Lonchura striata: one gene and its partner. The protein of the gene in region 2 binds, or shares a complex with, the protein of the main gene of each other region. Links are inferred from orthologs where the notes say so. Each region holds a gene or a part of one and is shown on either strand. Other genes may lie near its edges.

Region 1 (11,801 bases), about 15 Mb from region 2:
CCTGAATTCACACCCTTTCAGGGAACATAATTAATGCAAATTTCGCCTTCCCTGCAGAAGGAAATACTATTAGTGTAATTACTCTAATAATACTACTAGTCTAACTCCATGTGCTTTCCTGTTGTAGAAATTGTATTTTTTCTTTTTTTTTTCTTAGTTATAATCTATCCTGATTCAATATAAACACACTGTTCTCTCTTTACTGAAACATCCAGTTACAAATAAAATAGATTACATTAAATATCTGGATTCCCTGGCTTTTACACATTTCAGTGCTAAAAGTGTAATTCACTATTTTTCTAAGTTGTTTGTGTTAGTCTTTACATTTCCAGAATATGAGAGCGTACAAAATTTGTAGATAATTACCTGAACAGTTGACATGGAATATTCATTATTGTGGTCCAAATGACAGTTCCCATCATTAGGAATAACAATCCCTGCCAGTTTACTGTCCATCCCAAAATGGGAATCAGCATCACTCACAAACACCAGCAAATGTAGAGAATCATTCCTCCAGCCAATTTTTTCCTGTAATTTAAAACACATTAGTTTAGCAAGCCATATTGCATCACAACATAGAAAATCAGCAAAATATTTGGAGAATGGCATCTCAAAATGAATGAGTTGTATCATTCTCAAGGAATTATCACAGGCAACACATCTCCTAAAAGATAATGTTCATTCCATTGTCTTTGGCTAACATTTTGTTTCCCCATCCCTATGTTTAATAACACGAGTTGGCCATGTTCATGTCAATCTGCTTACTACTCTAAACATAGTTAATAAAAAATATTTAAACGGAAAAACAGACACTAATTATACTGATATTTGGGCTTATTTGTCCATGGCAATTAAAAGGAAACTTAGACAAAAATATTGCAATATGCATGTTTTACTTGTACAGCCAAAAGTATTTTCACACAAATTTAATGAGGCTCTTGGTTTGTGTTAAAATTTTTTGAAAAAGAATCTGTCGTTTTGAAATACCAACATATAAAACTAGAAGAGATAATATATGAAATAATATTATACCTAGGAATCTCAATTACCTTGCAAACTGCTGCCTGCATGATTGCATCAAATCCTCCCTCTGGAGTGTCTATATTAGCAGAAATTCGCTGTCCTTTCACAATTTCATTGAATTTTTTAGCATCATTTGTTAGGGGCAAAACATTTTTATATCCAAAGGTGGGTAAGCACTCGTATGGTACGCTTCTGCAAGAAAAATGAAACAACTTATGGATAAAAGAGAGTGAAAAATCACTGGAATGGCTGCTTCAGAGGGCTGCCTGGATTAGTTTTGGTCTTGTCTCCTGTCTGTGCCTGAGCAGAATTAGTGAAAAACCTAAGATAATTAAAGAGCATTCAGTCTCTTGGGCAATGGAAAAAATCTGCAGAAAGGTTGGGAAATGCCTCCTAGAGCAGAGTAATTCTGTCAGTTACCAACGTGCAGCCCTTGCCATGCCTCCTGCTGTGCCTTGATCTCATATTTAGAATCATATTGGGATCTGTAGCTCCTTAATGGCACTCAGAGACAACCACCAGCTGCAGTCCTGCTCCAGGTTGCAGAGTCCAGCTTCTCCCCTGCACAGGTTAGCTGGGAGCTAGGGCAGCCAGAGGCTGGGGAGATTGATAGACCTTAAGGGGGAAAAAAAGCAGGAGAACAGCACTGATGGCTAAATGAAACTGGTATTCTCTGTTGGGTTTGAGTTTGCAACTCCTTAGTATAATTCATAAAATTATTTTAGATATATATATTCACTAGAAAATGAAAGAAATTAAAGAAAAAATACAAAACTACATGCCACATACCTTTTTGTTAACATATTGAGCACATTTGTAACGAGCAGCAAACGCTATAAAGCAGACTCACTCACTCCCAGATTCCTCTATCCTAATAACTTAAGATTCAACAGAATGATGATCAGAAGGTGAAAAAGAGAACCAAACTCTTGTTCCACAAACGGACTCATTTGCAGCTGGAAGAGGGGAGAGTTTCCAGGGAAGCCGCTGAAATTAATTTTAGCCTAAAGATTATGATAGTGTTGGCATGCAAACAGATGTTGGGACTTCCCCTGCCTACCTGCAAGGGTTCTTTATTTCTGCAGCTGTAGTTTTGATAAATGGTGAAACTGGTTTTTCAACAAAAGATCCAAACCCCAGTCTAAAGTTGCTTGTCAGTTTTGACATCTCTTTGGAAAGTGTTGAACCCAGTTCTTTGATTGTATTCAGATCATCATCCATGGAAGCTGAAAGATCCATGAGGTAGTAGAGATCAATTGGATAATCTTCAGTCTGGCGAACCTTGATCTGTATTGTTTCTGCATGTCCTGTTAAGGTCAGGGGAAAGTGGAACACATATCATCACTTCTGTGCAGAAAACATGAGCAATGCCAATTTCTGCATAGACCTAATATGGTGACAATTATCTGGTATTTTAAACCACCAGTAGCATTTGCAAAAATATTTCAAAGATTCTCAACAAAAAAATCTCAAATAAGGGTCTAAAAGATTAAAAATAGTTCTAATGTTTGGGGTGTTTTTAAAACAGCTCTTCAGTAACACCATAACCACAGAATTATAACTAATTGCTATAATTTGAAAAAAATATGAAAACATCTCTTCAACAGTATGCAGCTTTAGGAAATTTAGATATGAAGCTAATTACAACTAGAGGTAGCACTTTGGGGTCCTATCATATCCTTTAAAAATTTAAACAAAGTCAGAGTGTACACAGAGATTTTATTCTCAGTTCCAACACTATGACCTGACCTAACTAGATGTCTCTTGCTTTTTTTCATTCCAAATTTTCTCCAGGAAAAATTCAAATCTGAGGGACCCCAAGGTGGGTCTGGAATGCTACCATAAATGTCACTGCTTGCTAGACCAGCAGGGGAGAGGCACAGAGCTTGGCTGGGGAGGAGCCAGGGGCTTTCATTCTCTCCCTGCCACCTCACTGGCAAGAGAAGAGAGGAACTAAACATATATATCCTTTTTTTTATGATGTACCCAGCACTTCTGAAAATATTCTGAACGCAGTTGAACCTAGTTGTCATGTGATGAGTCAACAGATAATTTTGGACTCAACACAGGTTTTCATCTTTATTCTGTCAAGATATTTTTGAGATTGCTCAATCTTAAGAAGCTTCAGTTTATCACACTGTCTGAAATGAACCTATGAGCTGTGACTTACCTGGTCGCAGCCTCAGAGTTAATTTCTGGGGAGAAATCTGTGTGACATCAGAACTGGTCTTCTGGGATGATGCAGTTAGGGGATCATTTCTGTGAATTTCTACTTCTGAAATGGGGAACTCAATGAAATTCAGCTGGCATCCTTTGGACAAAAGATTTTCCAGGGTATCACACCTCCCATGAATTCCAGATGAGTCTGTGTAATTCTAATGCAATTGGGAGAAGGAAGGGATGAGTTAAATGTTTTTGCTGACTAGCCACATGCACCTGCCCACAAAAGGTCAGTCCAACTCAGGGAATAGAAACAAAGGTCCAAGTTTGTGCAAATTAGTGCAGAACTAGATATAGGTGGCACAGAAACCCAAATTTGCCCTTCATGGGTCATGTCACACAGGTGTATAATTAATGTAACTTACACCGACTTGTTATCCTGGGAGAAACTGCTCTATTGTTGGGGAATGGGAATTGTGCCACTCACTGCATTTGGCTTCTCACAGCACTGGGAATGATAACACAAAACCCCTCTGAGCCACTGGTTTTTCTGTCACAGAATTGTGCCACACATGCATCAGTCTTTCCTATACAGTTTAGAACTGCTGATTGAAGCACGCTATTTAATAAAATAAGAGGTCTTGCTGATAATAAACTCCTGGACTACTCGTGACAAACAGATTGTGGATACCCAGTGTTTACTGTTTCTTTTTTTCTGACCTACACTTTCTCCTCATTTAAGCTGTTCACTGAAGCAGGCATCAAGTCCTTGTTCCTCTGCCTGGTGCCCAGCAATGACCACAGCCTGTCCCCAGTGTTCCTCAGCACCAGTGGTGCTCCCGGCATCCCACATCTAAATTCAGCCCAGCATCTTCCTTGACCTTCTACCAGACAGAGGAAATCAAAAGCCTATAAATATCAATTGTATATCTCAAAGTTTATTGTCATTACTCAGTTCAAAGCATTGATATGCATTCCTTTCCACAGCACTGCTACAGGGTAGGTACTAACCTCACATGGTGCTGAAGTTAATGGTTACTTTTACAAAGAGGTTTCTGTGCCTTATTACCTTATTTCTGTGCCTTATTTCCCAGAGTTTTGTCTAGAGTCAAGATTCTCAAGATCAGTCAGCTGTCTCCTGGAAACTGCTCTGGCCTGCAAGACCTTTTGACCAAAGCCTGGGCAATGTCTGGCAGAATCAGATCTGAAACATTAAATTTCTGGTGGATAGTCATGGGCCCATACCATGCATCTGCTCTTTTCTCCTAGGTCTGGGCAAGCAACCCATGGATCAGCCATTAAGCCACAAATATTCTCTGAATTCAGTTGCTGAAAAACTTTCCATGCAAAACAAAACAAATTTACTTTAAACCTACTAAAAACAGACCTATGACCCTTTTTTTCCCACCAAAATATCACCCTTCATGCCTGAAAATTTTCAGGCATCTTATATATTTTGGTGGAAGTGTTGAGGCACCTGTTGGGAACAGTGGTTTATTATTCTCCAGCCTGAACCAGATGCCTTTGCTCAGGCAAAACTCACCCACTGCTTCTTGAATACAGCACACATAAATTACACGTACCATTATAAACCTTTCACAGGGAGATCCATATCGTCTCCTTTAGTTACACAGTTTGTAACTTTTCAAAATGTGTGAAGAGACAACCTCATATTTCAAATACAATTACAAAGTGTGTTCTTATCCTACAGAAAACAGTGGTTTCCTTAGAGGTGCTTTTGTATGCTTGGATACTAAAGCTCCTATGCCTTTTGCATGCTTTATGTGCTGTTTTCTAACAAAGAAATGAATGAGCTTATGAACAAAGAAGAAAAAGCATGTTTACTACAGTGAACTTTTCAATAGTTCCACAGGGTTTTTTTTTGGTTTGGTTTTGGGTTTTTTTGAATCAATAAATTATATTGGGCTCTTTTTTCTCTGAAAATACATGGCAGTAGTCAAAATTATGGGATCCAATTTCAACAAAATCCTGTTTTATAGTACAGATATAAAAACAACTGCAAACACACTAATGTGGGGTCTTTTTGACCTCAATGGTTAATATATTTTGCAAATTGCAAAATATATATTTTTAGAATTTTTAAATGAAATGCAGTTTTTTCTTTCTGAGCTATTTCATAAAGAGTGTTTTAGTCCCATACTGTGTCATTTTGCTATACACAAAAACAATAAAAGCTGTTAGCAGCAAAGGTGCAATCCAGAAACAAAAATGAAAAATACTTTATTTCTCTAGCATTTCTGTCAAGTTTCTGTTGCAATAGCTGACTATCTTGTTAATGATGATGAACTAAGAGCTAGAATATTTATTGTGAAGTGGGGAGATTTTATTTAGCACCATTTACAGAAGAAAGTTTTAAAAGCAGAAATGTGAAGTCACTTCCCCAGGGTTGCACTGAAAATCTGAAACAAAGCCATAAGAAACAAATCCAGATATACTTTTTAAGTTAAATGCTTTAGCCAAAACATATCTATATCATATGAATTATAAATCCGACATTATTGTCATACTTAAAATTAATCACAGTTTTATAATTTCTATATGGAAGTTCTACATCTGCAAACTTTTATACTCTTGATACCTGCAAACCTTCTGCTTGCACTGTCTGGCTTGGCATGTAATCTGTCAGATACAGTTTGGCCTCTGACTTTGTGTCTGGTGCTTCATCATCAGTGCTGGGGGTGAGTCAGCCCTTGAGCTGACGACCTGAGACCCCCTAATAACATTTCTATTTCTGCCTTAGATTTGAAAGGTTGATGTTTTCGTGGGTTTTTTCAAACAAGAAAACAAACAAATAAACAATCATCCTAACAACCATACTGTGAATAACAGACCATGGAGAGTAGATTAAATTCCACTTCTGCTCCCCAAGAAGGCTTCACTAAGCACTGCATGCATTACAAAACCCTGGGCTGACCCAATTAAGTCAATACTTCATCACTTGGAGTGACTACAAAGACTTAAGTCTTACTTTGAATTTTTTTTTTTTATCACTCTACCTCTTGCAAACACCAAGCGCAGTGTGGTCCGGAAAGCAAACAATCTTCACAAGTCACTGTGCTTTCCTGAGAACAGGTCCCTGAATTTAAATCCAAGAAGATAAAAGACTGTTAATAATATGCTGAATCATTCAATTTATGAAGAAACATGCCATCTAGAGAATGTGGGTGGTGAAAAATACACATATATAGCCATATTTAGGATTACTGATAAAATTTCTTCTTAACAGTAGTTCTATTGGTAAAAGATTAACTCTACAATAAAGATTAAAGCCTTAGAATTGCTGGCAATTAACATACCTCCTTTTGCATGCTTTATGGGTGGCATTCACTTAGAACATGTTACCTTGTTCCCTCCAGTGCACCTGAGAGAGTGTTACATGTATTTCTGGTATGGTGTAGGTAAGTCATTTCCCACATAACCAGGGATATTAAAAGAACAGATTTATGCTCACTCTCTATGCTTAATATTGCTTCACTCAGCTCCGTAGATGCTTGATATGATTTTTCTCCATTGTGTAACTACCAGAGAAATACTCAGCCATATGTATAATATGAAAGATTCTTAACAGATCAAACTGTGATTAGTGAAAATGAAATTGCTCAAATGTCTATCTCTTTCAAACCTGTTGCGCTATATAATGACCACCAAATTGTAGATGAATTGGCAATGCAGCCCTACAGCAGTCTATCCAAAAAAGGTCATTAAATAGAAAGATTAAATACAGAAGGCAGAGAGCTATTTCGTGTCAACTTCAAGCAAGAAACAATGCAAAATGATTTTGAAATTGATCTCCCTGCCCCTGAGCCTTACCTTGCACATAGTTATTTCTTAGCAGGAATAGGAAACAGAGGCAAAGCAATTCAATCCCCATTCGTTTTCAGTGCTGGCTGCATGACAAAAAAATATTAGCTTGTTAATTATCGTCTGCATGAAGGTAGAATGTCGTAAAAAGCATGCATTCCCGAAGGGTATGTTTTGGGATGTCACGTACACCGGATCGCGAGGAAGCTGCAACCCAGCGGGACGGACCATGAACAAAAGTGAAAACAAGGGCTACCTGGGCAGGTAGAGAGGACAAGCTGTGCACACAGTAACGTGAACATGGTTATCACTTCCTTGTTTTCCTGGGCTCCTTATAAGGCATACGGGGAAAATTCATTCAGGTGAAGATTCCTGTCAGTCCCAGTCACTCTGGGTCCTAGAGCAACCCAGCCAAGAGACCGTGTTTGCACTGTACAACAGCCCTTCTAAAGCTCCTTCAAAAGAACACCTTTAATTGTGCCCCGAGGGAAAATGGATCATTAAGATTGCCGAGTATATACCTGGAGAGAAGAAAAAAATCCCACTTTTTCAGATTTCCTGATGTGGAGGGAAACTCATAAAGGCAACTGTGAAGGGAAAAAACCCAAACTAATCGCAGATTAAAATTTAGGACTTTGCTTCAGTACTGCAAGATACCAAGTACATTGATTTTTTTTTTTTTACATTCCAAACGGAAAGGAAAATGCTGGAGTTGTAGATTCTTTTAATATATAGAAGGAGGAATAATTTTATTCCCAGTACAGCAACTGACTTGAAAAAAGAATCATGTAGCCTTAACTCTGCCTAATAAGCAGCTGAATATTCTACAGCACAGAAACAATTGCATAACAAGTTATTGCTATCTCTCATCCACCTTCCCAACCTGAAATGAAGGCAAAATATGTATTTCTTACCACCTTATTAAAAGAAAATAAAATTCCTTATTTCCAGATTTTATGTCTTCCCATCTTTTATACTCTGTTATTGCCTGTTTTAAAAAACATTTTTTCAAGACGAGTCCTGTCTTTTCATAAAGATTTGCAATAGTCAAAGTAGGGATGGGTCTGTATTAGTTAAATTCAACATGCCCAAAACATTCCTGGGCACTGGGGCCAACTGGCACAGAAAGACCTGAGTTTATGATTGCAAAGTACCTATTGGGCCAATTCTAGCAACCAAATTGTGCCCAGAAATTGTTTGCAGTGAGCATTGATTGGAAGAGGTCAAATTCATGCCAGGGAGCTTTTTAACAGTCTAATAGCACAGACAATCTCATTCTAGTGCTTGGAAATATTCCCAGGCACATCCAATTTTACTAGTGTTTACACAGACTATGGGTAATTTCAATAGCAACTCACCCTGGATTACATCAGGACTACCTTTGCTCTGCCCTTGTGTTCCCACCCTCTTTATTACTCATCGTTCATGCCCAAACACGCCGCGTTTCAAACTGATCCAACCAAACCCAATCACCTTCTGTGGGAAAGGTGGAGGGCTGGTTTTCATCTGGTTTTGTCCCTTAAACCCTGTGGCTGCCCAGTCCAGAGTTCAAGGCAGAACTGACAGGAAAGGTGAGAATTTGTTAGGCCAAATTTAGCCCAGTTTAGGCTGTTGCCAAACCGTATCTTAACATTTCTATTTACAACATTCCTAAATCTCCTTCAACTGCTCTCTATGCCTCAGAGTGCCCTTTGTAAGGCACTTGCTCAGCTACAGTGATTTTCTGTGGCATGAAAAAAACATCGATTAGATTATGTTCCCTCAGTTGGTGAAGACACAACTCTATGAGAACACTCTATGTAATTACATAAGGTCAAAAAGAAGTGGAATAAACCAAAAGTGTTTGCTCTTGCTAAGAGAAACATCCCCCTGTAATATGCTACTCAAATATCCTACTTCCCTGGCTCTGACTGACATTTCTCTATGTGTCCTTCAAGATTGTTACTATGTCCACAGCCTTGCAGACCCCCAAAACCCAGTGCTTTCTCTTTCAGTGTAGGTCACCTTGTAGCTCTGATGGGCTACTGGCCCCTGGGAACAGCAACACTTCAAAGCACAGGGCTTGGTGGCAGCGCTGCAGCCACCACAAGATAGCAACACCTGCAGGGTCTCAAACTAAGGACCAGTCAGCTGAACAGCTGGCAATTAGCAAATGCTTATTCTTGGATTGAAGATATCAAACTTTGAAGTGTAGAGAGAATTAGTAATATATCCTATATAAAACTTACAAATTCTATTTGATATTATCAGTTCTCCATTTGCTTGTGAGGTTAATATTTTGCATAGGTCTTGGCAAGAATAGCATGGCCGGAAGCTAAGTGCCTGCCTCTGAGTGAGGTGACTGCCAGACTATCTGAATTAAGCCTTTGCTGAATAAAATAGCTAAGTTTCTGCAAATTATTAGGAATATATTAGATTATTAATAGATCTATTAGATCACCGTGGATTGTCTGGAGAAAGCAGCGAAGGAAAAGAAAGTAGGAGAATAAACAACAACAGAAACAGACAAGGAAAAAAAAATTGAGAGCAGGAGCCTAAGAGAGGTCCTGAAAGAGAGACAGTGTGCACCAAGAGTAAACCTTGGGCAAGGTAAGAATACCTAAACAGGAAGCAGACATATGATTCTTGTTTTGAAACACCACCTGTGCAAACTAAAGGTAAGTTGACCAGGAAGTTCCTCTACTAGATAAATGCTTTATTTGCTTTAATCATCACTAGAAGAGTAGAATCTCAATCTGGAGTAGCCATGCTGATGTGGGAAGGATGTATAAAATGCTCTGGGGTCATGGTATTACTTGATTTGGCAACAGGGTTCCCATTCTTCATAAGGTTTTTAATACAGTCTCGCATCACCCACCCAAATTAAAAGCATTGATTCTATGAGATAGAACAAAAAGGAAGTTTACAGTAGAGAAAGAACACAATTATGATTGTTTCCGTCAGCCACTATATTATTTTGGAGGAAATTCTGGTCTCTATTAAATCAGAGTTAGAGTTTTTAAATGACACATCAGAAAAGAAAACAGTTTATCATTCAGTGTAGGCAGTGCTGAACAATGCAAGTCTTCCCTCCATTCCGGGCACAAATATAGCCCTGACCTCTCAGCTTCACACATAAGCCAGCTCTTGATTCCCAGCAATCTAGTTATACACATCCTGAAAGCCTGGAAAAATATGGAACCATTTAAAGTCTGAGTGTCCCCCAGCTGAGATGATTCTCAATATTTACAAAGGTGCAGGGAGACACTTCTTGTGCTTGAGAAAAGCTTTCTCAAGTTTGTGAGGCAGAGTCTCCCTTCTCTCCACCCTATTCCTACTCCTCACTGCATCTGGAAGAGGCAAAGGGCTGCACTCCTTAGGCCAGAGGCATGTTGCTTTGTACTTGAATCATCTGGTGACTTTATTCTCTGTCTGGTTGACTTCCCAGTCAAATCCTCAAAGCTCCTGACGATCTCTAGCAGGGAATGAAAGTAGACTTTAATACTTCAGTCAAACTTTTTAACCTGAAAGGAAGTAAGTGAAGATTCTACAAAAGTCTACGGATTAAAACACTTCTCTCACAAAGAAGACAAATGTTCCATAGCTGCATAGTCAAGTGCTTCCATACTCTTGGGCCAGCAGAAGTGGAAAGCATTTTTCCTTGGAAAATCTGCACAGAAATATATGCCCCAGCAGTCTGATAAGACCCAGTTCCAAAGTACAGCAATGGCAAATGTTTCAGAGGATGCCTGTGAGTTAGCTGAACAATGAAGGCTGAAAAAAGTCTCTAAGCTTGAAATTTTGGTTCATCTTTAGGGAGCTAGAGATGATGTGAATATCCACACAGTGGTGTGAGAGTTCTGCACACAGGTCAGTCCAGCACAGACAGAAACCACACACAAATACTGCACAGACACTGCAAGGACTGTCTTGTCTCTGTCTCTGCTGCAGTACAGATCTGACAATGCTTTAGGGAGAGCTGGCAAAAACATTTCAAGAGGAAGCAACAATCCCTAACAAACAGTTGTATTTAATGGGGAAATTCACAGTGAAGGTGAAAGTAACAAATCAGCAAAATCTGAAACTTTTGCTTCTTTAATTATTTTGCTGCCTTTTTTTTTTTTTTTTTCAGTTGATACATCTGCTCTCTCTTTCTTTATTAATCATCATGGTGGGACATGGGTATTGCTCCAACAGAAAATTACATACATTCAAAGAAACTGCTGTAAGCTTTTGAGTCCTCTATGGGTGACCTGGAGCTTGCTGAAAGGAAAGTTCTGAACATACTGTGATGGAGCTGGTTCATTCCAGCTCCTGTGTTTTGGGGTGTGCTAATACCATATTCCATTAGGGGCCTATGACCAAAACACTGCCACAGAGCCCAGGGAGATTTGGTCTCTCCTAACCTCCAGGTGCTGTTTGCCAGCATGGCTACACACGATGGAGTGCAGTTTTGGAAGAAGAGTGGGGGTGTTTTTAGCCTCTTCTGGAGGGTCACAGGAGATGGAGAATCACACAGAAGAGAGGAATTTTCCCCTCCAGCTCTGAGCAAAACAAGGTGTTGGGAATCGGTGACTCAGGTTGTGATTCATGCTCTGGTCTCCTCTTGTTTCCGGAACAGTGTTAGAGGAGGGCAGGGAATGAAGTCAATAGCCTGTCCCTGAACAAGCAGAGGGGCAGAGAAGGAAGGAGGGGCTGCTCTCCAACTGTACAGTGAGCAGCAGGCAGGAAACTCAGGGTGTTTTCAACTTGTATTCACCTTGCCCACAGCTCTGACCTGTCTGTCTCCAGCCAAGGGCATGAAGAAACCTTTGTTC
Region 2 (11,801 bases):
CTGCTATGCCACTTTCACATAGTCATAACTGTGTTAAATCAAAGCCAACTGATGTCACTGCTAAAAGGCTGAGAAGCCTCACAGCAAAGCATCTTTACATTTGGGAAGTGTTAATGTGCCATATAAACATTTTGCCTTCCAAAGCCACCATATATACCAGAATGTCAAAAGCAATTAGTGTAATGTGCACAGAAACACACAGACAGAATATTCTCCAGTGTATTTTCAGTGAGTATAACCACTGTGCTGAGAGATCCAGGACAAGGGGAGATTCCCTTCCACAAATTCTCCCTGCCCATAGCTGGGGGTGGGAACTAGATCATCTTCAGGGTCTCTTTCAACCCAAACCATTCTGTGATTCCATAAAATATATTGCTGTTTTAAATTAGAAAATATGCTGTGAAAGAATATTGCTTTTTTTAGCCAGAGGTTTAAAAATTATAATGACTGCTTTTATTTGATTTTGTTTTTTTATGTTACAGGCTGATGGGAAGGGTATGAAAAAGAGGGAAAAACATGTAATTTCAGCATGAGAACTACATAAATGGACTCCTACTGCCCAACTCCCATCCTGACAGAACTGAATGGTCACCCACAGGAAGGAATACACAGAGTAGGAAATTCTGTAGTACAGGAACTATCAGCTCAATGACTTATCTGCTTCCTCCAGGGCAGCTGGGGTGAGGGTAAGTGCAAGTAAGCAAGCAATGCTGCTGAACTGCAGGGCTGGAACAGCTCTTCCAAAGGTTATCTTCCAGCAGCTGGTACCTTTTCTCCTAGGCTACAGAAGAGCTGTGGCATTTGATCACCTAAATGACCATGCTGCTCTGCAAATATGATATTAAAGCCAAAAGCAAGAGCTAGAAAGTAAAACCCAGCCCTGTCCAACCAGTGAGCTCAGCGTGGCTTTTGTATAGATGGGGAAGAGAAATGGACCCATAAAGCCTCAGAAAAACTTAAATAAAAAACAAGGTCTGTTGAAGAAGAAATAGCCCTAATTAAGAGTAATAGAACAACATCTAGAGAAAGAAACCCTGCTTGCTGGACTTCTGCAAAACTCTGGCCTCATATTTATTTGTGATAAAAGACAAAGGGTCATGACTCCTGTTAATTATGGGCATCCAACTCCACTTACAGAGTTTGGCATCATCAGACAAACAGAGGAAAGCCACAAGTACAAGCATTCTCATTATTTTCACAGGTCAGATTTCTCACTGGCTGTAAGCAATTAGAAAATAACCCTGAAGAAACACATCTAAGTAATGATGCAGAACATGGTTTTTCCAGTAAATCTGGGAGGGAATAAAAAATCTGCCTTGTATCGCAGGGCTAAGCAACACCTCTGGAGTTACAGATGGTAATGCACCAATGATAAGCAGTGATGGATCAGCCTGGATTCCTGTTAGAGGCTACATTTAGTCATCTACAAAAAGCCCCTTTGCATCAGCACCACAAGTTAGTGGTCAGATCTTCCACTTCCTGCTCCCCAGAGTGGGTCAGGAATCTTCCCCAAGCCCTGTTCCCTAAAGAGGCAGGGACAGGCAGGAGCAGGGCTTACAGTGCTGGCTGTGACTTTGTCACCAGAACACAGGGAATTGAACATTGTGTTATGCACAAAGAAAAAGACATCTTCTTTTTTGTCTCAGGGCATTTATTATTTTATCAAGCTGAAATACAATGCCCCTTTTCACCAGGATAATAATTGACAAATGCGTTATTCCCCCATTCATTGCCTCAAAGCTGGAGTGAGTAAAGCCTGCCTGAAAAAAATCCTCTTAAGCCCTTATGACCTGCTATTTTTACTGTTAAATTTCAAGCAATTAACATGCCTGATCCTTAAAGGCAAATGACAAGCAAAACACTGTCTGTTTGCCCAGAAGCATGTTCCTTAAACACAGACATGCAGGAAAGCAGCCAGTGATCTCTATCAACTCCACCTGGCACATGGAAAAGCCTACTGCAAATGTTCATAATTGCACTGTAATTCCCATTGAAAGTTGTGTCTAGAACCTACATGTGTGGCTCATCTTTCCCCACCAGAAGTTTTTGGCTATATATTAATGATGATTATTAACTAGGGACATCGAGATTTTTTCTTAAAAGCACCCACACTAACAAAATGTACACTTGTATTCTAGTAAACAAAAAGCCCAGAGAACAACAACAAGAAGATAGTTATAATCTGGTTTTGCTGCTTTGACACTGATGCAGAAAAAAATGTCAGACTTTGCAGCTTATTAGAGATTTTTAGTAATCTGACAGATATACTCCTACTGAATGATATGAGGGAATGATAATGACTTGGGGTTTGTGGGTGCCATTGCAAACATCTTTTCTTTGTGTTTTTTTGCAATGGAACTGGTGACATAGTGGTTTTCACAAAAAGATATGAAGACTTCAGGAATCTGAATACCAACAGTGTTTTGTGGCATACCTTGACAGTGGAATTGGAAGAAGAGCTTCTCCACTCTACTGCACACAATTTAAAAAGGCTGCATCATTCTAGCAACTTCTAGACTGCCAAGTCAAAACACTGGCAGAGGCAAGAATGAATTACAACCAACCAGATCTTCAAGGCACAGGTGTTTCCTCTGCCTTACCATATGGGTCTTGCTAATCCCCTCCCATGACATGGGGAGGTTTTTCTGCTGCCCTGAAACATGCTGTGGAAAACAGGATTCAGCAGCGAGTGGCTGGAGCAGAAAAGCACATGCAGTGCATTCTCATGACCTGCCACAGCCTGTGGAAATCACTGTGTGCACCAGAGCATGAAGAATGGCTGAAATTGTTCACGTCCACACTGCTGCTGCTCAGCTCTTCTGTGCTTCAGCACAGGGTAAGGAATGCCTATTACCTGAGTGCTGCTATCATATAAGCCACAAACACTGTGGAGCTATATCTGAGGGGAAAAAATTTAAAAATACATTTTTTCTCCACAGTTTTTAGGACATACTCCTAGTTTTAGATGAAACTTCTGGGTATTTCTGCCTAAACCACCTTTGCTGATATTGAAAGTACCTTTCCTCATATGACACATTCTTAATAGGAAGAAAACCCCTCAGGGTTCATTGGGAATTAGGTTGCCAAATGTTTTAGGATTGCTGAAAAGTACAGAGGAGAAATATAAATAGGTTAAAACACAAGAAGAATAATGTTTGCTCACTCAGGCTTTCAGCACATACCAGGGACAACAGAATTCTAACAGAGAGGAGAGGAAAAGGAAAGCACAAGCACGCCTTGACTAGCTGCCAGTCAAAAACCAACCACATTCACAATGACCATGAAATATCCCAGAGGGACATGAAACCTTTCTGCTTCCCCACAGCAGCATCAGAGCAGAGATATTCCATCTCCTCCCACCCACACATTACCTGTGGCATCAAACACAATGGGCTGGCAGTTCCTGTTGGAGTTCCAGTTGCATTTGAGCACCTGCCCTCCCTCTACGATGTTGTGCTGGGTAGTGTTTGCTTTCGGAGCTCCCACCAGGAGATACGTCCTGCAGGAAAAAGAAGAAGCAAAACAAAGGTTTCAACACTTAAGGCACAGCTGTTATAACTTTATGACATCTGAAGAATCAATAAAGCAGAAATCTACTCTAATCTAAATCCAACTCCAACTACTCTCAGTTACAGAGAAATTCATATGAGGTTCTCTTTTCTGCATCAAAAGCATGCAAAAAAACTTAATTTACCAAAAGTAGAGGAAAAAAAAAGATATTACAAATTTAAAGTATCCAGGCTTCCTTAGGATTATATTTTAAATGAGAGAAACACCTTTCATGCTCTTTTTTCATTTCAAAAATATGTATGTGTACAGCAGAGCAGGAAATTGTGTACTTCTGCACCTTACGAAAGCCATCAGGTGGCATAATTTCTGTTAATTTTGTAAGGGTAATTCAGGGAAGTCAGTCAAAATGGAAACAATATGTAAACAAAGCAGCAGTGCTCTGGGAGCTCAGCATGTACTGAACGTGATGAGTCAGCCCTGCCTGAGCAAGTGCTCCTGTAAAAACAATCTCCAAGTGCCAGCCACTCCGAGCCACAGATCTGCATGTTAATGAGTCCTTACCCACACCCACTGCACAGGCATCATTTTCTTGTTAGCATCTGCTGTGCTTTTCTGCACCTCTGCTTTACAGGCACTTGTTCCGTGCACCCCGAGCAGGAACTGCCTCGAAACTGTGCCTGCACAGGTGGCAAAATTCAGACGTGTCAAAGTAAGAAACACTGAACAAGGCTCTTGGCATCTTCCAGGACCTTCCAGGAGCCCCAGCACCTCTGAGACCCCACTTCACTCATCAGCATTTGCCTGAGAAAGTCAATGTGAAGCATGAAGTCATGCTTAGAAGACAAAATCTAGTGCTTCCTTACACTATAATCATTCTGCTCTGTGGCTTACTGCTTAAGAGGGAATGCAGCTTGCAAGAGCAGGTCTTGTCAGGCACTACAGTTCTCTAGTTTGGAAACTGGTTAGCTGAACAAGCTGCAGGACTGGTTGGAGAGAATGGCTGCAGGCAGGCAAACCCAGGCTTATCAAACTTGCTTTGGTTTTCAGAATCATCTCCAGGCTCCTTTCCAGTAGAGAGATAAGTATAGGTATAAACATATAGCACCTTATCAAAGCTCAGTTTGCATGAAGACCTACCAGTTTTCAACCTGTGTGAATTTTCAGAACCATAAAAATGTCCTGGCATGGACCCTGATAGAAAATCCAGGCTAGCTGGCAATCCATTTGTTTTCCTGAGTTGCCATTCTTAGACTGTTTAGATTTTTGAAACATTTTAATCAGTTTAAAATCAGCTCTCTGAGCAGAACAGAAATGCTTAAAAATGAACATTATAATGCCAAGTAAAGAAACATATAAATTGTTATAATTACCACCTATTAAAAAAGTGGTAGCTTACCTCCCATTTTACTCTTGTACCACTGACTTTTGAGAAGTCCTCCAATGACGCTTATTTAAAAGATTTATTCATTCCAATTCTAATTATATATTTTAAATTTTTATTAAGCTAACATTTGTGATGAAGTTTATTAAAAAAATTACAAATAAAGGAACCATTATGTGGTTCCACAAAGGTTTTTTCCCCAAAATGCATTTTCATCATCAGAGACCAAGCAAGCCGATTTTGTCACAGCTCTTCTAATAATATGCAAATTACCCAAATACTTAGAAGTCGCTAATGCACATACAGAATAGAGGGACAATTGCATTTCCATGGGAATACACCAGCTATGCTTTGATACTGCCAATTTCCTGTATCATGCTCCTGAAGCACCCACCCCATCCCAACGCTGGGGCAACACCAGGAGTGTTCTGGCACCTTTGGTGTGCCTACAGGAACAGCCCCTTTCCAGGGCTTTCCAGGGCCAACAGAGGAGCTGGGGCTTCCATGGAGGTGCACGCTGGACTAACAAGAGGGGGTGTGACAAACCTGCTCCAGCTGTCAGGGAGCTGTGCTCCTGTGAAAGCTACACCCACTGCCAGGCAGCACACAGCCCCTGCCTGGCACAGCACCATCACTTCCACGCCTGCGTTAGGACTTTCAACCTGGACTTCTAAATATGCTTCAGTCTGGCATCCAGCAGGTCAAAATAGACTGTGAAACAGCAGCTGGAGCATTCAGGAACTAACAGCATGCCTTTGTTGTCAGGCTAGACAATCCAAAAAGCTTTAGCCCAGCGAAACTGATCTAATCTCTGGTACTCATGGATAAAACAGGTGATGAAGAAAAGCTCACCAAAGCAAAAAGAAAGGCGTGAAACCTTGTGACGCCGCACAAGCCTGGACACTGCATAGAAGTATTTCTGGCTATTTCAGGAGACAAGATATCAGTGGCCATAGGCATAAACTGAAAATTTAACACCACTAGAGCCTGTTCCTCTGAAAGCTGCAGAACTACTTGATTCAATTAAGAACTTAAATGGAGATACAAACAAACTTCTAGTGATGACCAAAAAAAAAAAAAAAAAAAAAAAAAAGGTGAGAATTCCCTTTGAAATATACAGAAGCTTTTCATGCTGCCTGACAACCACACTGTTTTCTTTAATAGCAGTGCAATTTGAGGTCAATAGTTCTTATAAAAATAATGGAAAGGTTCCAAATAGTGATTTCATGGAGAGTTGTGTCACATAATTCCTTATCAGAAAGCAGGGAAGAAAGTTTATTACATGCATTTACCAGTCTCTTGATAACTGCAGGCCACACATGCTGACTTAAAAATAAAGGGCGGGACAAAAATAGAAGTTTTTTTCTTTTAGTACCAAGACTTACAGGATTAAGATAGTGGAGAAAGATGGTGCAACATGTGCAAGTTAAGACAGGCTGGCTTCTAATATATGTACGTCATAAAAAAATTCAAACAAAGCTAGATGATGTACTGCAGAAAGACTTGCTCAATAGCTGTACAATTTGCTTATAAAGTTTTACAAGCTAAAGATTAAGGGGGGGGGGGGGGGAGAGAATACCTCCTTAGCAGGATCAAAGCCAGCAACTTTTCCAATTTTACAGTCCTTAAGATGGGAGAGGGGTGGGAGAGAAGTGACAAAAGCTGGTTTTACTGTAGCCCGCATTTCAGAGCCAGAGCCTGATTCATTCTGGCAACACCGAGGCTGTGCGAGTTAGTGACACAAGGATTCAAAGGTCTGAAACGCAACAGCGACTACACTCTGCCTAATGTTTAACATGAAACGGGAACATATTCAGGAAGCAGACGTGGAGGGTGCTTGTATGGAACTTTTCTTTCTCTAGACTCCTCAGCAGCTTGCTGACTCGCACAGACTCACCACAATTCAAACAACATTCCCGCAAAGCACACCCAAAGAGAAAACAGCAGGTTTTCTCAAATGCCACGGGACACAGCTTCAGCAAACAAAGTACCATAACTACATCTTTCTACACTGTTTTTATCGCCACCATCATTCGCATGAGACCAGGCTGTGCAGAGAATCCCGCAGCGCAAGGTTCATTGCCCCACCGCAGCCGCGGCCGCTCGGGATCGCCTTTGGCTCCCCGGCCAGGGGAGGGATGCGGAGCGGTCCCTGCCGGGCAGCGCCGGGGGCAGGCGCCGGCTCCAGCCCCGCTCCGGGGCCTGAGCAAAGCCGCGTCCCCTCCGAGAGCCGCCCGGCCCGCCCGGGCTGCTGAGGGCGGGGGCAGCTCGCCATCCTCGCCGGCTCTCGCCCCGCGCCGGGACAACGCCGCCCTGCTCGGGCTCCGCGGGGAGCGGCTCGGCGGGCGGGCGGGACGCGCACTTACGAGAACGGGTCTGGGGCGAAGAAGTCCACGGCGAAGCCGAAGTAGCTGCCCGCCGGGCCCGAGTAGACGGCCGGGCGCTCCACGTCCAGGTTGAAGGCGCTGCCCGGGGCCAGCGCGGCGCCCAGCAGGAGCAGCAGCGTGCCCAGGCGCGCCATGGCCCGGCCCGCGCTGCTCCGCGGGCGCGGCTCTGCCGGGACGCGCCGGCCCCGCGCCTTTCCCGCGGCGGGGCGGGAGCGCGGCGCGGTCACTTCCCCCTTCTCGCCGGGACGGGGGCGGCAGGAAGGAGAGGCGGCATCATGTGGTGCCGGGGGCGGGCCCTGGCCGCTCCGGGCCCGGGCCGCCGCGCTCTTCCGCCGGGAGCGGGCGGGGAGCGCCCGGCACGGCCCGGCTCCGGCGGGACTCCGGGCCCGGAGCTGCCCTCGCTCCAAGCATCCCACTGTTCTCTCCGCCCGAGACGAAGGCTGGAGGAAGGTCAAGGAAATTCTTCCTTGTGAAGCCCTGGCACAGGTTGCCCAGAGCAGCTGTGGCTGCCCCATCCCTGCCCGGGTTGGACACGGCTTGGAGCAACCTGGGATAGTAGAAGGTGTCCCTGCCCACGGCAGGGGCTGACATGAGATGGTCTTTAAGGTCCCTTCCAACCCAAACCATTGTATCATCCTATGAAAGAGTGCTAGAAATTTGAAGAGGGGCACGCATCCCTGCCTGGCTTTACCAAGTCTGTTTGGTGAAGCCTTTCTGAACAAGTCTTTCAGCAAAGCTGTTAAGCAAGGAGTGAAGGGAGTGCCAGTGTGGAGCCAGCCATGGAGGAAAAAAAAAAAAATCTCGATTTTCAAATACATAGGCTATTAAATGAAGTAATTTTAAATCCCAGGGTCACAGCACCTCCCCAGCCACAGGAATGCCCAGCAGCAGGTGCAAGGCAGGGAAGAGGGAGCCTGTAAATCCTCCCTGATGGAGGTCCCTGTTACTGTTGCACCCCTGCACTACCCACCTAGGGAAGAACCACGCAGCACAGCTCCAATCTCTTCAGTTGTGGTTTGGAGCTCTTGTATCATCGCTCACTAATAACATTTTAGCACTATCATCCCGACTCAGCCAGCTGCAGGCTGCTGTCAAACCCATCCTAGCCTCGCCCTCCTCAGCCTGTAAGAGAGTTCAACATCTGCTGAGTATAGATAGCAGTGTCTCAGGTAAAACAAAACACAATGAACACCTACAAAGAGCAAAAAATTCATATTAATTTGTACAACATAACAGGACTGGAGTATATTGCCACCAAAAGTCTAAACTTTTTGTTTTCCTCATTGTGAGCATGATAAAAAGGGACAGAACAAACAATGATGTTTCAAGCCTTAAATAAAAGCTAAAAATACCCCATACATATTTACCAAGGGACTGATTTAGTCTAATGGGAATCCCAAAATAAAAACATTTCTACGATAAGCAGAGGAAAACCCAAAGAATCACCAGCTACTCCTCTGTTCCATTCACTTGTTCTCGCTATTAATTATAATTTCTTTGGGAAGTCACCTTAAAAATTCTATCAAGAAAGGGAGTTCCTATACATAAACTTGATGCTTGTTGCTAATTTTTCTAAGTTTGCTGCCCCCTCAACATATTAAAAAAAACCCAACCAACCAACCAAACTCCACATTACTTTTATTGTTATTTACTGACTTGTCTCAGAGCTTTTATACTACAGACCTGATCAAAGCAAAACTACAGATGAGTTAATAAGTTTCCAAACATTAGTAAATAGGGCAATAAACTAAAGAGTAGTTTATGAGTACTTTGATCAGTAAATCAGTAACTTAGGAAAAGGAGGATTTATTTTCTCTACTTGATTGAATAACCTCACAACGTCACACAAGCAGTGAAGGATAAATTATCTTTAAGACACTAGAATTTTTTTAACCAAATGATAATTTTGGCTTTCTAGGAACTGGATAACCTCACAACATCACACAAGCAGCAAAGGATAAATTACCTTTAAGATATGAGAAATTTTTTTAACCAAATGATCAATTTTGGCTTCTTAGGGACTGGATAATCTCACAACATCACACAAGCAAGCGAAGGATAAATTATCTTTAAGACACTAGAATTTTTTTAACCAAATGATAATTTTGGCTTCCTGGGAACTGGATAACCTCACAACATCACGCAAGCAGTGAAAGATAAATTAGCTTTAAGATACTAAAAAAATTTTAACCAAATGATCAATTTTGACTTCCTAGGAACTGGATAACCTCACAACATCACACAAGCAGTGAAAGATAAATTAAGCTTTAAGATACTAAAAATTTTTTAACCAAATGATCAATTTTGGCATCCTAGGGAGTGTATAACTCCCCAACATCACATAAGCAGCGAAGGATAAATGAAGGATAAATTATCTTTAAGTTATGAGAATTTTTTTAACCAAATGATCAGTTTTGGCTTCCTAAGGACTGTATAACCTCACAACATCACACAAGCAGTGAAGGATAAGATATCTTTAAGACACTACAATTTATTAAACCAATTTTGGCTTCCTAGGGAGTGGCTGCGCAGCGCTCCTTGTTGTCAGAAATCGCAAAGCCAGTCCATAGGAGCAACTCAAGAGTCAGGGGCACTCATCCCTCATCCCAAACGCTTCTCTCCCTTCAAGAGGGTTGTTCTTTCGCAGCTGCTGCGTGTGTTCCGTGCCCCTTTGGGCAGTGCAAGGTGCCCTGCCTCAGCCCCGGGCAGGGCTCCGCTCGCAGGGACTGAGTCACCGGGGCTGCAGGAAGCGGCGGCGCTGCCGCCTGGCCCCAGGTCACAGCACAGGCGGAGTCGAGCAGTCTAGACAGCCCCAGAGCCGAGCCACAGCTCCCCGGAGGGCATCACAGCCCCCAGCCTCCTCGTGGGAAAAGCAAATGAAGCGCACAGGCTTGGGATGCGCTTCCAATCAAAGCCAATCTTACTGTAAATGACAGAAAGTGAGTGATTGATTCCGGGGCTTGCATCGAGTTACCCTGCCTGACACAATCCTGTTTATGTAGAGCAGCAAACACCCTTCCAGCGAGGATGTGATTTTCTTTCCTAGTTGGTTCCGTTCTCAGCATGACTAACATACAGATAAGGAACAGCCAATGAGATCATATTATAGAATGTAAACAAGTTAATTATGTGTTTCTACATTTACTTGTTACCTGTAGCTTTCAGTTCTCAGGCTAAGATATCTGGTGGTGAAAAGACAACAACTAAGAAGTGGGCAGCACTTGGATTGCTTCATAGACACCAAACTTTTCGATTATATTCAAAACAGAATGCAATTATTTAGGAATTGACTGGAGTCTAAAGACTGCAACTCTATGCAACAGACCAAATTCATATTTCTGTTACAAGTTATGGTCTTATTAGCTTTTATTCAGATAACAAGCTATTAATACAGCTGAATAAAACTTTGCAAGATGCAAAGAACTTTTGGTAGGCAGTTTTTTTTGGGTTTTTATTTTTGCTATTCCTGAGTGTCCAGCCTGTAACAGAGTATTTCAGAATGTTTCTCCTTTGAGTCTATACCTCATGACAGGAAAGGTAGCAGCAAGGAAATGGACTAAGTGCCACAATTCAGTAGAAACTGCAAATGTGCAAACCACTGTGGTCCTACTTCAAACGGTCAGCAAGAGGTCCTGTATTTAAGCAATAAAATTCAGCCTCTAAGTGGATTTGGTGCTTTACAGTACCAGCAGAATGAATATCTGGAGCAAAGGATCAGCACTCATTTATTCATCAAGACTATTAGTGTCCCAGAAAAGCCTTCATTGATGTGAGAGTTCTAGTAAGTATTTTGCTCTCATGCCATCCAGACGTTTGAGCTTTTCAAGAGGCTTAGCTGCTCTGAACAGACCTTTTAAGAAGTAACTCAGTTTCTAACAAGGCAGTAGAAACCAAAGTAAAAGATGGACTTTACCTATTAGTTTGCTTTGGTCAGGTTGTGCCTTATTACTTCTATTTTGTTTAATATTATCTTTGATATCCATTGGGAAAAATCAAACATTACATCTGAAAACTGGAAGCATTCAGTGGAGAAACAGGAGGAAACCACTAGAGATGTTTGGGCTTGATTTGCTCTATTGCTCCTATGAGCAATTCACATGAGCCAAATCTCATTTGGCTGTTAGCAAAAGCTGTCCTTAGCCCGGGGCTATGGGGCAATGCTTTCACAACAAGAGTATGGCTGCTACATTTGTTAAACCAGCTCCTAGCACAGAGTCTAAGATCTCCCAGATCAAAAGGAAGTGAGCTGTACCCAGTTCTTGTCTGATTTGCTCAATATTGACAGCTGTATTACTCCACTGTTAGTCAAAGTCTTTCTGCAATAGCCTTTTTGTGTTTTATAGGGTGCTCATTACTCACCAGGCCTTTTTTTAACATTAGGATTTCACAGCACCAAATTCAGGAACAGCACTACTTGATTTACCCAAGGATTCATATTTATTCAGTCTGACAAAGCTGGTCATTATAAATCACATGTGACTCAGTTTTTGCTTCACAAAGCACTTCAGCAGATTACCAAACAA

The links.
Region 1: the proteins of ITGAV (region 2) and ITGB6 are in contact, whole or in part, in a crystal structure (PDB 9CZA), measured with the Homo sapiens proteins. The link is inferred for Lonchura striata from reciprocal best matches to the Homo sapiens genes ITGAV and ITGB6. Residues at the interface, in NP_002201.2 of Homo sapiens: Tyr48, Phe51, Lys72, Trp123, Leu141, His143, Gln150, Glu151, Arg152, Pro154, Asp178, Ala179, Phe184, Gln186, Phe189, Pro204, Tyr208, Trp209, Asp249, Tyr251, Tyr254, Pro274, Arg275, Arg278, Thr279, Met302, Ala303, Tyr305, Phe308, Pro328; in NP_000879.2 of Homo sapiens: Ser183, Pro184, Phe185, Lys187, Thr188, Thr189, Pro190, Ile236, Asp237, Thr238, Pro239, Asp273, Ser274, His275, Phe276, Gly277, Met278, Asp279, Lys281, Leu282, Ala283, Gly284, Val286, Pro288, Glu308, Thr311, Ile312, Gly313, Gln314, Ile316.

The regions. Positions count from the first base shown.
Region 1 is NC_134610.1:16,541,706-16,553,506, forward strand, and holds the start of ITGB6 (integrin beta-6), read right to left. Parts: upstream 7,076-11,801; coding exon 7,015-7,075; intron 6,281-7,014; coding exon 6,201-6,280; intron 3,399-6,200; coding exon 3,194-3,398; intron 2,331-3,193; coding exon 2,084-2,330; intron 1,216-2,083; coding exon 1,050-1,215; intron 529-1,049; coding exon 367-528; intron 1-366. UniProt on the Homo sapiens protein: Integrin alpha-V:beta-6 (ITGAV:ITGB6) is a receptor for fibronectin and cytotactin. It recognizes the sequence R-G-D in its ligands. Internalization of integrin alpha-V/beta-6 via clathrin-mediated endocytosis promotes carcinoma cell invasion.
Region 2 is NC_134610.1:31,991,455-32,003,255, forward strand, and holds the start of ITGAV (integrin alpha-V), read right to left. Parts: upstream 7,447-11,801; 5' UTR 7,413-7,446; coding exon 7,258-7,412; intron 3,500-7,257; coding exon 3,372-3,499; intron 1-3,371.